2 linked regions of the Oryctolagus cuniculus genome follow. The protein of the gene in region 2 purifies or fractionates together with the protein of the main gene of each other region. This does not show direct contact. Links are inferred from orthologs where the notes say so. Each region holds a gene or a part of one and is shown on either strand. Other genes may lie near its edges.

Region 1 (4,428 bases), on a different chromosome or scaffold from region 2:
AATTAAAAAAAATTAAAAGGCAAAACAAACAAAATGAGTTTTTATTCTATTAGCCAACAACAGAGTTAAGGTCTATAAAAGACATGTGGGGGCTGGCGCTGTGGTATAGTAGGCTAAGCCTCTGCCTGCAGCAGCAGTATCCCATATGGACACCGGTTTGTGTCCTGGCTCCTCTTCTGATCCAGCTCTCTGCTTATGGCATGGGAAGAGCAGTGGAAGGTGGCCTAAGTGTTTGGGCCCCTCTACCCAGGTGGAAGAACCTCCTGGCTCCTGGATTGGCCCAGCTCCAGCCATTGTGGCCATTTGGAAAGTAAACCAGTGGATGGAAGACCTGTCTCTGTCTCTCCCTCTCTCTAACCCTACCTCTCAAATAAAGAAATAAATAAAATCGGCCGGCGCCGCAGCTCACTAGGCTAATCCTCCGCCTAGCGGTGCCGGCACACCGGGTTCTAGTCCCGGTCGGGGCGCCGGATTCTGTCCCTGTTGCCCCTCTTCCAGGCCAGCCCTCTGCTGTGGCCAGGGAGTGCAGTGGAGGATGGCCCAGGTGCTTGGGCCCTGCACCCCATGGGAGACCAGGAAAAAGCACCTGGCTCCTGGCTCCTGGCTCCTGGCATCGGATCAGAGCGGTGCGCCGGCTGCAGCGCGCCGGCCGTTAGAGGGTGAACCAACGGCAAAAGGAAGACCTTTCTCTCTCTCTCTCACTGTCCACTCTGCCTGTCAAAAAAATAAAAAATAAATAAATAAAATCTAAAAAAAAAAAAAAAAAAAAAAAAGGGACATGGGAGGGGTTGCACTGTGGCCCAGTGAGTTAAACTGCTGTGCACAATGCCAGTGCTTGCATTCCGTAACACAGTGCTGGTCTGAGTCCCAGCTGCTCTGTTTCTAATACAGCTCCCTGCCAATGCACCCATGAATGTAGAAGTTGGCCCAGATATTTGGGCCCCTGTCACCATGTGGGAAATCTGGATGGGGTTCCTGGCTCCCAGCTTCAGCCTGACCCAGTCCCTCTGCAGCCATTTGGGGAGTCAACCAGTTGATGGAAGATCTCTTTTTGTGTATGTGTGTCTCTGTAACTCTGCCTTTCAAATAAGTAAATCTTTATAAAACATAAAATGAAACAAAAGACATGAGAAGACATGACTGCACAGTGAACTTGAGACATAAGGAAGTAAAATGAGGGCTTCCAGCATGTCTGGGTTGTGAGAGTTCAGTAGGCTGGCTCTACTTGTTTTTCTGCTTCCTTCTGTGGAAGTTCAAACCAGCAAGCAGCTGACTCATAGTTAGAGTCAGTCTCCAGTGAGACCCTTAGAGAACTGACAGCAAGAAAAGGCTCCCTTAAGTGGCCGTTAAGCTCTTCCTTTAATCTGATAATATACCAACCATTAAGAAGACAAAGAAAGTTGGCCCACAAATATTTAATAAGATAGAAACTAAGGACAGCTTATGTACACAGAGAAAAGTATAAAAGCAGACACATTCAGCTAATTACATACTGCTATGCCACGCTTGTCTCTAAACAAATATGACACCAAAAATGGCTCAAAATATAGTTAGAAATCATTTTTTAGGGCTGGTGCTGTGGCACAGTGTGTAAAGCTGCTGCCTGCAGTGCTGGCATCCTATATGGGCACCAGCTCAAATCCTGGCTGCTCCACTTCTGCTCTAGCCCTCTGCTATGGCCTGGGAAAGCAGAAGAAGATGGCCCAAGTCCTTGGGCTCCTGCATCCATGTGGGAGACCTGGAGGAAGCTCCAGGCTACTGGCTTCAGATCGACCCAGCTCCGGCTCTTGCAGCCATCTGGGGAGTGATCCATTCGATGGAAGTCCTCTCTCTCTCTGTCTCTGCCTCTCAAATAGATCTTTTTTAAGAAAAGCTTTAGTTTGAAAAAAAAAAAAAAAAAAAAAAAAAAACCTCATAAACTATAAAAAATATTGAGAACAAACAAAAAAACAACAAAAAAAAATCTTTTTAAAACCGACATCCCTCAAAATACTTTTACAGGGAAACCCAAAGTACAGTGGGCTTACCGATGGTGGGGTCATGGTCTTCTGGAAATCGGTGGCTGATAAACTGCATAGTCATGGCTTCAAAACAAGAAATCAAAGTTAACCTCATGAAGGTGATCCATAGATGAAAATTCCAAATATCAACTGCACAACAGCCAGGAGCCCATTAGGTTTGGCAGAGGTCAATTCTTTCTTACATCTTGTCAAACTGAAAATGTGGGGCCAGCGCTGAAGCGCAACGGGTAAAGCCGCTGCCTGCAGTGCCAGCATCCCATATGGGCACCCGTTTAAGTCCCAGCTGCTCCACATCCGATCCAGCTCTCTGCTGTGGCCTGTGAAAGCAGTGGAAGACGCCCCCAAATCCTTGGGCCCCTGCACGTGCATGGGAGACCCGGAAGAAGCTTGCAGCTCCTGGCTTTGGATCGGCACAGCTCCAGCGTTGCAGCCAATTGGGGAGTGAACCGGCGGACGGAAGACCTCTCACTTTCTCTCTCTGCCTCTCCTTCTCTAACTCTGACTTTGAAATAAATAAATAAAATCTTAAAAAAAAAAAAAAAAAAGGAAAATGTGCCCTTACCACTTTTCCCCACGCCACCCGCGCCAAGCATCACTAATTTGTACTCGCGTGAAAGTCCTGTAGGATTGCTGCAGCAGCCAACAGCTGGGCGAGATCCAGAGTCCATTGTTCTCTTGGGGGAGTCCTGGGCTGTCCCAAAGAAAAGCCACCTAGGAAGAGAGTAAAAAATATCCGGTCCAGGTTGCAGACCCGGAGCCAGCACCGTCCCTCACCACACAGCCTGTCCCACCCGTGCACTCGGAACCCTTTCTGGCGGCACTAAGAAATCCCACTGCCTCGCTCGCTCACTCTAGACTGTGCGGTCCTGTGACACCATGGCGGGTTTCCACTTACTACGTTTTCGATAAAAACCAACAGAAATTTGGAGTCTCTTTTCCGAATGGGGCAGCAACACACCCGGGAGAAGGGTTGAGGTTTGAGGGCACGGCATCCGCTCCCGTCAGCAGTCCCGAGGCTCCACCCCTCCCGGAGGCACCTCCCGCCCCCCGCTGCGCCTCCGCACCCCTCGAAGCCCCGCCTGGCGCCGGCAAGACTCCCGCCCGCCCGCCGAACCGGGGAACCCACCTCGCCCTCTTCCCTCGCGCCGGGGCACCGGCACTGTCCCCTCCCACAGCCGGGTATAATGGCGCAGTGTCTGACGGGAGGGGCGGGGCGCCGGCGACGCACGCAGGCCCCGCCCCCGCCGGGACGGGCCATCTGTCTTCCTGGTCCGTGACCTGGTTCAGTGGGCTGCCCTGTCACGTCCCATCGCCCAGGCCAGCGCGCACGTACTGGGCTGTTGGCTGCTAGTGAACAACTCATGTTTGGCCCAATGCAAGGCTAACGGAGGGAAAGGGGAAGGCCCGTCCGCTGACCCTGAGATCCTAAGCAGGAAAAGCCCTTTCCCAGAGGGGCTGCTACAAGGACTTGTGCTCCCGAGACCAAGTTTAAGCATGTATTTTTTTTTTTTTTTTGGACAGGCAGAGTGGACAGTGAGAGAGACAGAAAGGGTTTCCTTTGCTGTTGGTTCACCCTCCAATGGCTGCTGCGGCCGGCGCGCTGCGCTAATCCGAAGGCAGGAGCCAGGTGCTTCTCCTGGTCTCCCATGGGGTGCAGGGCCCAAGCACTTGGGCCATCCTCCACTGCACTCCCAGGCCACAGCAGAGAGCTGGCCTGGAAGAGGGGCAACCGGGACAGAATCCAGCGCCCCGACCGGGACTAGAACCCAGTGTGCCGGCGCCACAAGGCGGAGGATTAGCCTAGTGAGCCGCGGCGCCGGCCTTAAGCATGTATTTTAAATACATGAAGATACTAAAATGAGTGGCATTAAATTAAATAAATTATCTTAAAATTATTTAGTGAATTAAATTTTGTCTTTAACCCACTGATAAAGGAAAGCTAAAACAAAATGCAAAACACCAACATGGTAACCCTGAAAAATTTTAACGTGGACTTTTTTGCAGTTACAAAACTCTAAGAATTATCTGTATGTATCTTTCTGGTGAGGATCCAATCACATTATGCTAAAGTTTCAGCGTATGGATGGGCGTGGAAGAAAAAGACAGAAACACAAGCAGAATATTTATACATTTATTTATAATGAAATTGTGGTCTAAATATTTACAACATATAGGAAACCAGAGGATAAGTTTATACAAAGCCAGCCTGTAAAGTATTCAAATGTGCAAAAATGACAGTTCAGTATCTCAAACTACTCCTGGTTCGGCAGACTAGCTCCTTCACTTTCACACATCAATATTTGATACAAAAAAGTTCTTTTGGCAAAACCTGTAATGCCAAGAAAAAGGACATGTAGCAACTCCAGTCACTGAGTCCACCATCCTACTGAGCAGCCACTCTCTCCTC
Region 2 (4,276 bases):
TTGTGTATGTAGCAACCGGAGCGCGCGTTGTGGCATAATGGGTTAAGCCGCCGCCTGGGCCGCCCACAGCCCGTATCCAGGTGCCTGGGTTCAAGCCCTAATCTCCACTTCAGATCCAGCTTCCCGCTAATGCGCCCTGGGAGGCAGCCGGTGATGGCTCAGGTGCTTGGCTTTCTGCCACCCGCTGTGGAGACCAGATGGAGTTCCCCATCTCCTGGCCTTAGGGGGTAAAAAACGCAACCAGGGTGTTCTCACACCAGGCTCCGCCTTGCTCAGTGTGCACGGTGGAGTGTGTGTGTGTGCTCCCCATCTCCATTTTATAGAAGATGAAACAGCCTGGGAGATAAAAAAGCTGAACTTGAGGCCGGCGCCGCGGCTCACTAGGCTAATCCTCCGCCTGCGGCGCCGGCACACCGGGTTCTAGTCCCGGTTGGGGAGCCGGATTCTGTCCCGGTTGCCCCTCTTCCAGGCCAGCTCTCTGCTGTGGCCAGGGAGTGCAGTGGAGGATGGCCCAGGTGCTTGGGCCCTGCACCCCATGGGAGACCAGGAAAAGCACCTGGCTCCTGGATCCTGCCATCGGATCAGTGCGGTGCGCCGGCTGCGGCGGCCATTGGAGAGTGAACCAACGGCAAAGGAAGACCTTTCTCTCTGTCTCTCTCTCTCTCTCACTGTCCACTCTGCCTGTCAAAAAATAAATAAATAAATAAATAATTAAAAAAAAAAAAAGCTGAACTTGAGGCCACCCCTTCCTGATTCACACCCCAGGAAGCCACCCTTCTTTGGCATACCCAGGGGAAAAAACCACACCCAGGGAAAGACAAGTTTGCATCCTGTTTCTTGGTGTCCCCATTGTTAAACAGAATCCTGGGAGGCCACTGCTTCAGACTGAGCTCCTGCGCTAGGCCAAACCAAAATGGCGTCACTCCTGCTAAACGCCTCGTAAACAGAAAATCAAAGGAAGTGGAGAGATCCCCAAACAGGTGCAGCCGGCACACCTGATTCAGCATCACAACCAAGTCCCCTTCACTGTAACCGTTACCAAAAATGTAAACTGCAGCAACCTACGCCTCACCCAGCAGGGTTCTTGTCTGTTGCTTAGTGCCCTAGCCCCAACCTTATAAAACCCCCTGTTCTACCAGCCAAGGTGGCTGCTCCTCCGAGTTTGTATGATAGAGGTTGTACTGATTTTTGAATTACCAATAAAAGCCAACCGCCTTTTGTCTTTTGACACTTTGTATGTAGCAGCTTACAGAAAGGGCTGGGCTTCTTGCTACACAGTTGCCACACACGAACTGCCTACTAGGCAGAATGGAGGGGTCTATTTCCCACCCACTGCCCTGGGCAGAACACCAACACCTGCTCTGCCCCGGCACTCCCGCTCTCTCCGGCTAACACCCGCGGGCGGGATCTCCCTTCTTTCATCTGTTCAGTGGACAAACCCTGCACTGTCTGGGCTGGGATACAGAGACGCAACGAGCACCAATGTCTATGTGCTACAGGGACCAAGGGAGACAGTGAAGAAGAGCAGGGGAGGGGATGGCTGCCTGTATGCCCAGGTGGCCAGGGAGGGTCTCACTCACAAGGAGCATCATAGGACAGGCAGGGAAGAGCCAGGGCAGTGCACATGCAGTAGGGCAGCCAGCGTGGCCCAGTGCAAGGAGGGGACAGAATGGGGAACGGTGGGGTGGACACAGAGTAGGGGGCTAGGGGCCGGCGCTATGGCGCAGCAGGTTAACACCCTGGCCTGAAGTGCTGGCATCCCATATAGGCGCTGGTTCAAGTTCTGGCTGCTCCTCTTCCAAACCAGCTCTCTGCTATGGCCTGGGAAAGCAGTGGAAGATGGCCCAAGTCCTTGGGCCCCTGCACCCACGTGGGAGACCCTGAAGAAGCTCCTGGCTCCTGTGTTGGGATCAGCTCAGCTCTGGCCCTTGCAGTCATTTGGGGAATGGAAGACCTCTCTCTCTCTCTCTGGCTCTATTTCTCTCTGTAACACTTTCAAATAAATAAAATAATTCTTAAAATAAAAATAAAAAAGATGCTGCTAGGGATGCCTGCATTGTACATCGGAGCACCAGGGTTCAAGTCTCAGCTCTGCTCCTCACTCCAGCTCCCCGCGTGCAAGGGCCCAAGCCCTATCCCACAATGCTTCTCCCTGCCTGGTCCAAATACCCGGATAGTCACAGTCACTCACCCGTTGTCACCACCAAATACATAGATGGCATCTTTATAAGCCACCACCGTGTGTTTGCTCCGGCTGCAAAGAAAGAAAGGGGGATGGCTGGTGAGGCCAGGGTCCTGGGTGGGTGGGTGGGGCACCCAAAGAACAGAACTACGCATGAGGACTGCCACATGACCCAGATAGCAGGTTACAATTGCCAGGATCCAGAGACTTCTAAACCCACCCCTCCCAAAGGACTCTGTACGTGGGCCTCTCTGGACATCCCACGACACGGCACCTAGGGACCCCCTCGACCCGAGACCCACCAGATCAACAGCTCTCGGACTCTGCGCAGGTGTCCCACCCCACCCCGACACCCTCGCCAGCTCCGGACACCGTCCCACGGGCACCATCTCCGTCATCACCACTTCCAGATCGCAGCCCCGGAACACCACGTCTCGGTCTCGCCCCTGGACCCCGCCCTGGGACCCCCTTGAACCCCGCCGCCGTACCGGGCACCCACAAACTCGTCGCAGGGCGGGAGGCGCCGCCAGCGATGCACCGTCTCGAACGGCCCAAAGTTGAGTGTCAGGTACTCGACACTGTCCGAGCAGCTGTGGTCAAAGTCCACGCTTGGGGCTACCTTGGACCGCGCGCCACCGCCCAGGGCCCCGGCCCCGATCGGGCCCCCGGAGCCACCCGGCCCAGCCATCCCGGGTCCCGCCGGGTTGGCCACCGGGGCCGCAGGACTTGCGGCCACCGCCCCGGAGGGACTACATCTCCCGACGGGCCTTGCGCCGACGCGAGCGGCACTTCCTGCCAGCTCCGGGGGTTCGTCGGCCCGCACTTCCCGGCAGGCCTAGCGCTCTGCGTGACGCGACGGGCGAGCGCGGAACCTGGTCTCTGGCCTTGTGGCCAGCGTGTAACCCTCTAGAACGCATTTCTTACGAAATATGGGCGCCAGGGACTGAGGTGTCCCGTCTCCAGTTCCCCCGAGCTTGCTAGGCCCACTCCACCCGCAAACCCATCAGACCGGGATCTCGTTTCCCGGCATGCCCTGTGTCTGCGCGGGGTTGCGGCTGGGATCGTCCGCCACTTCCGGAAACCCAGACTATGGGTTCCGGGCTCGGCAGCGGCTCCCGTCGGCGACCCGCCGAGCCCCTCCTGGCTGTCGCCTCCCTAGCCGTGAACCTCCAGCCTCCCGGCTCCCGGTGTCGCGGAGCCTCCAGATTCTCACTCCTACTTCTGTCACCTGCGAGATGGGATTGCAGAAAACTGGCGGCAGTGAGCGGCGTGGGGTCTGTGTCGGGACCAGCTCCTGCAGACCGCCCCACAAAGTGTGCCTTTGCACCTGCTGTCGCTTCTACCTGTCTGCTAAAGCCAAAGGCACTTGCTGAAAAGCCCCGTCTGGCCTTGGTGGGGAAGATGGGGGCGGGCGGGGGTGTGCTCAGGGGCCAAGCTTCCCTGTCGTGACACCTAGCGTTCTGTGCTCGTGCCTGATAGCGATTACACCGGGAGTCACACAGATCTGGGAATGTGTGCGTTTTAATGTTCAGGTACTATCTAACACGACCTGACCCAACCGCGGTTAAAGCAGCAGCGCCTGGCGCGCCCCCGGTGCAGGCTGTCAGTGCCGGCCGAGGCTCTGGGCGCGTGCGCATCTTCTGCAGGCAGTCGATGCCTCTCTAAGGGGGTGGTGCCAGGCTGCTGAAGGCAAGCACTGTGAGAGGACTCGGGTTCTGCCCTGGGAAGTCCTGGGAAACTGGAGGTTGATTGGCACCTGCCCCTGGGGCTCGGCCTCTGCCCCTGGGGCCCCAGCATGGCCGCCCAGATCCAGCGTGTGAAGCTCAGGATCCTTTCCCGGTGAGCCAGGACATGTCGCCAGTCCTGCGGGAATGAGGAGAGAGATGGGGCTCAGGGCGGGCGGAGAGCAGCGCAGGCTCCCCACTCGGGCCTGCTCTGTGGCAGCCCTGGGGCCCAGAGGGGATGAGCATCTGGGCAGACAAAGGTGCAGGCTCTGGGCTGAGACGGGAAAGAGTCGGAGGCGTGACCCGGAAGGACAAGAGGTGTGAACAGGAAGGGCAGAGGTTGGCGCACGTACTTGCTGTGCAGCGTGAA

What was found.
Region 1: the proteins of LZTR1 (region 2) and RIT1 purify together in Homo sapiens (affinity purification with mass spectrometry; 3 studies listed by BioGRID and IntAct, counting the BioPlex papers as one, with this or other methods). This does not show direct contact. The link is inferred for Oryctolagus cuniculus from reciprocal best matches to the Homo sapiens genes LZTR1 and RIT1.

Annotation. Positions count from the first base shown.
Region 1 is NC_091438.1:42,787,255-42,791,682, reverse strand, and holds the start of RIT1 (GTP-binding protein Rit1), read right to left. Parts: upstream 3,047-4,428; 5' UTR 3,014-3,046; coding exon 2,917-3,013; intron 2,733-2,916; coding exon 2,628-2,732; coding exon of another isoform or gene 2,584-2,627; intron 2,085-2,583; coding exon 2,028-2,084; intron 1-2,027.
Region 2 is NC_091452.1:29,736,248-29,740,523, reverse strand, and holds the start of LZTR1 (leucine-zipper-like transcriptional regulator 1), read right to left. Parts: upstream 2,973-4,276; 5' UTR 2,871-2,972; coding exon 2,671-2,870; intron 2,255-2,670; coding exon 2,192-2,254; intron 1-2,191. Other genes in the region: AIFM3 (apoptosis-inducing factor 3), read right to left, coding at 4,006-4,045, 4,260-4,276. UniProt on the Homo sapiens protein: Substrate-specific adapter of a BCR (BTB-CUL3-RBX1) E3 ubiquitin-protein ligase complex that mediates ubiquitination of Ras (K-Ras/KRAS, N-Ras/NRAS and H-Ras/HRAS).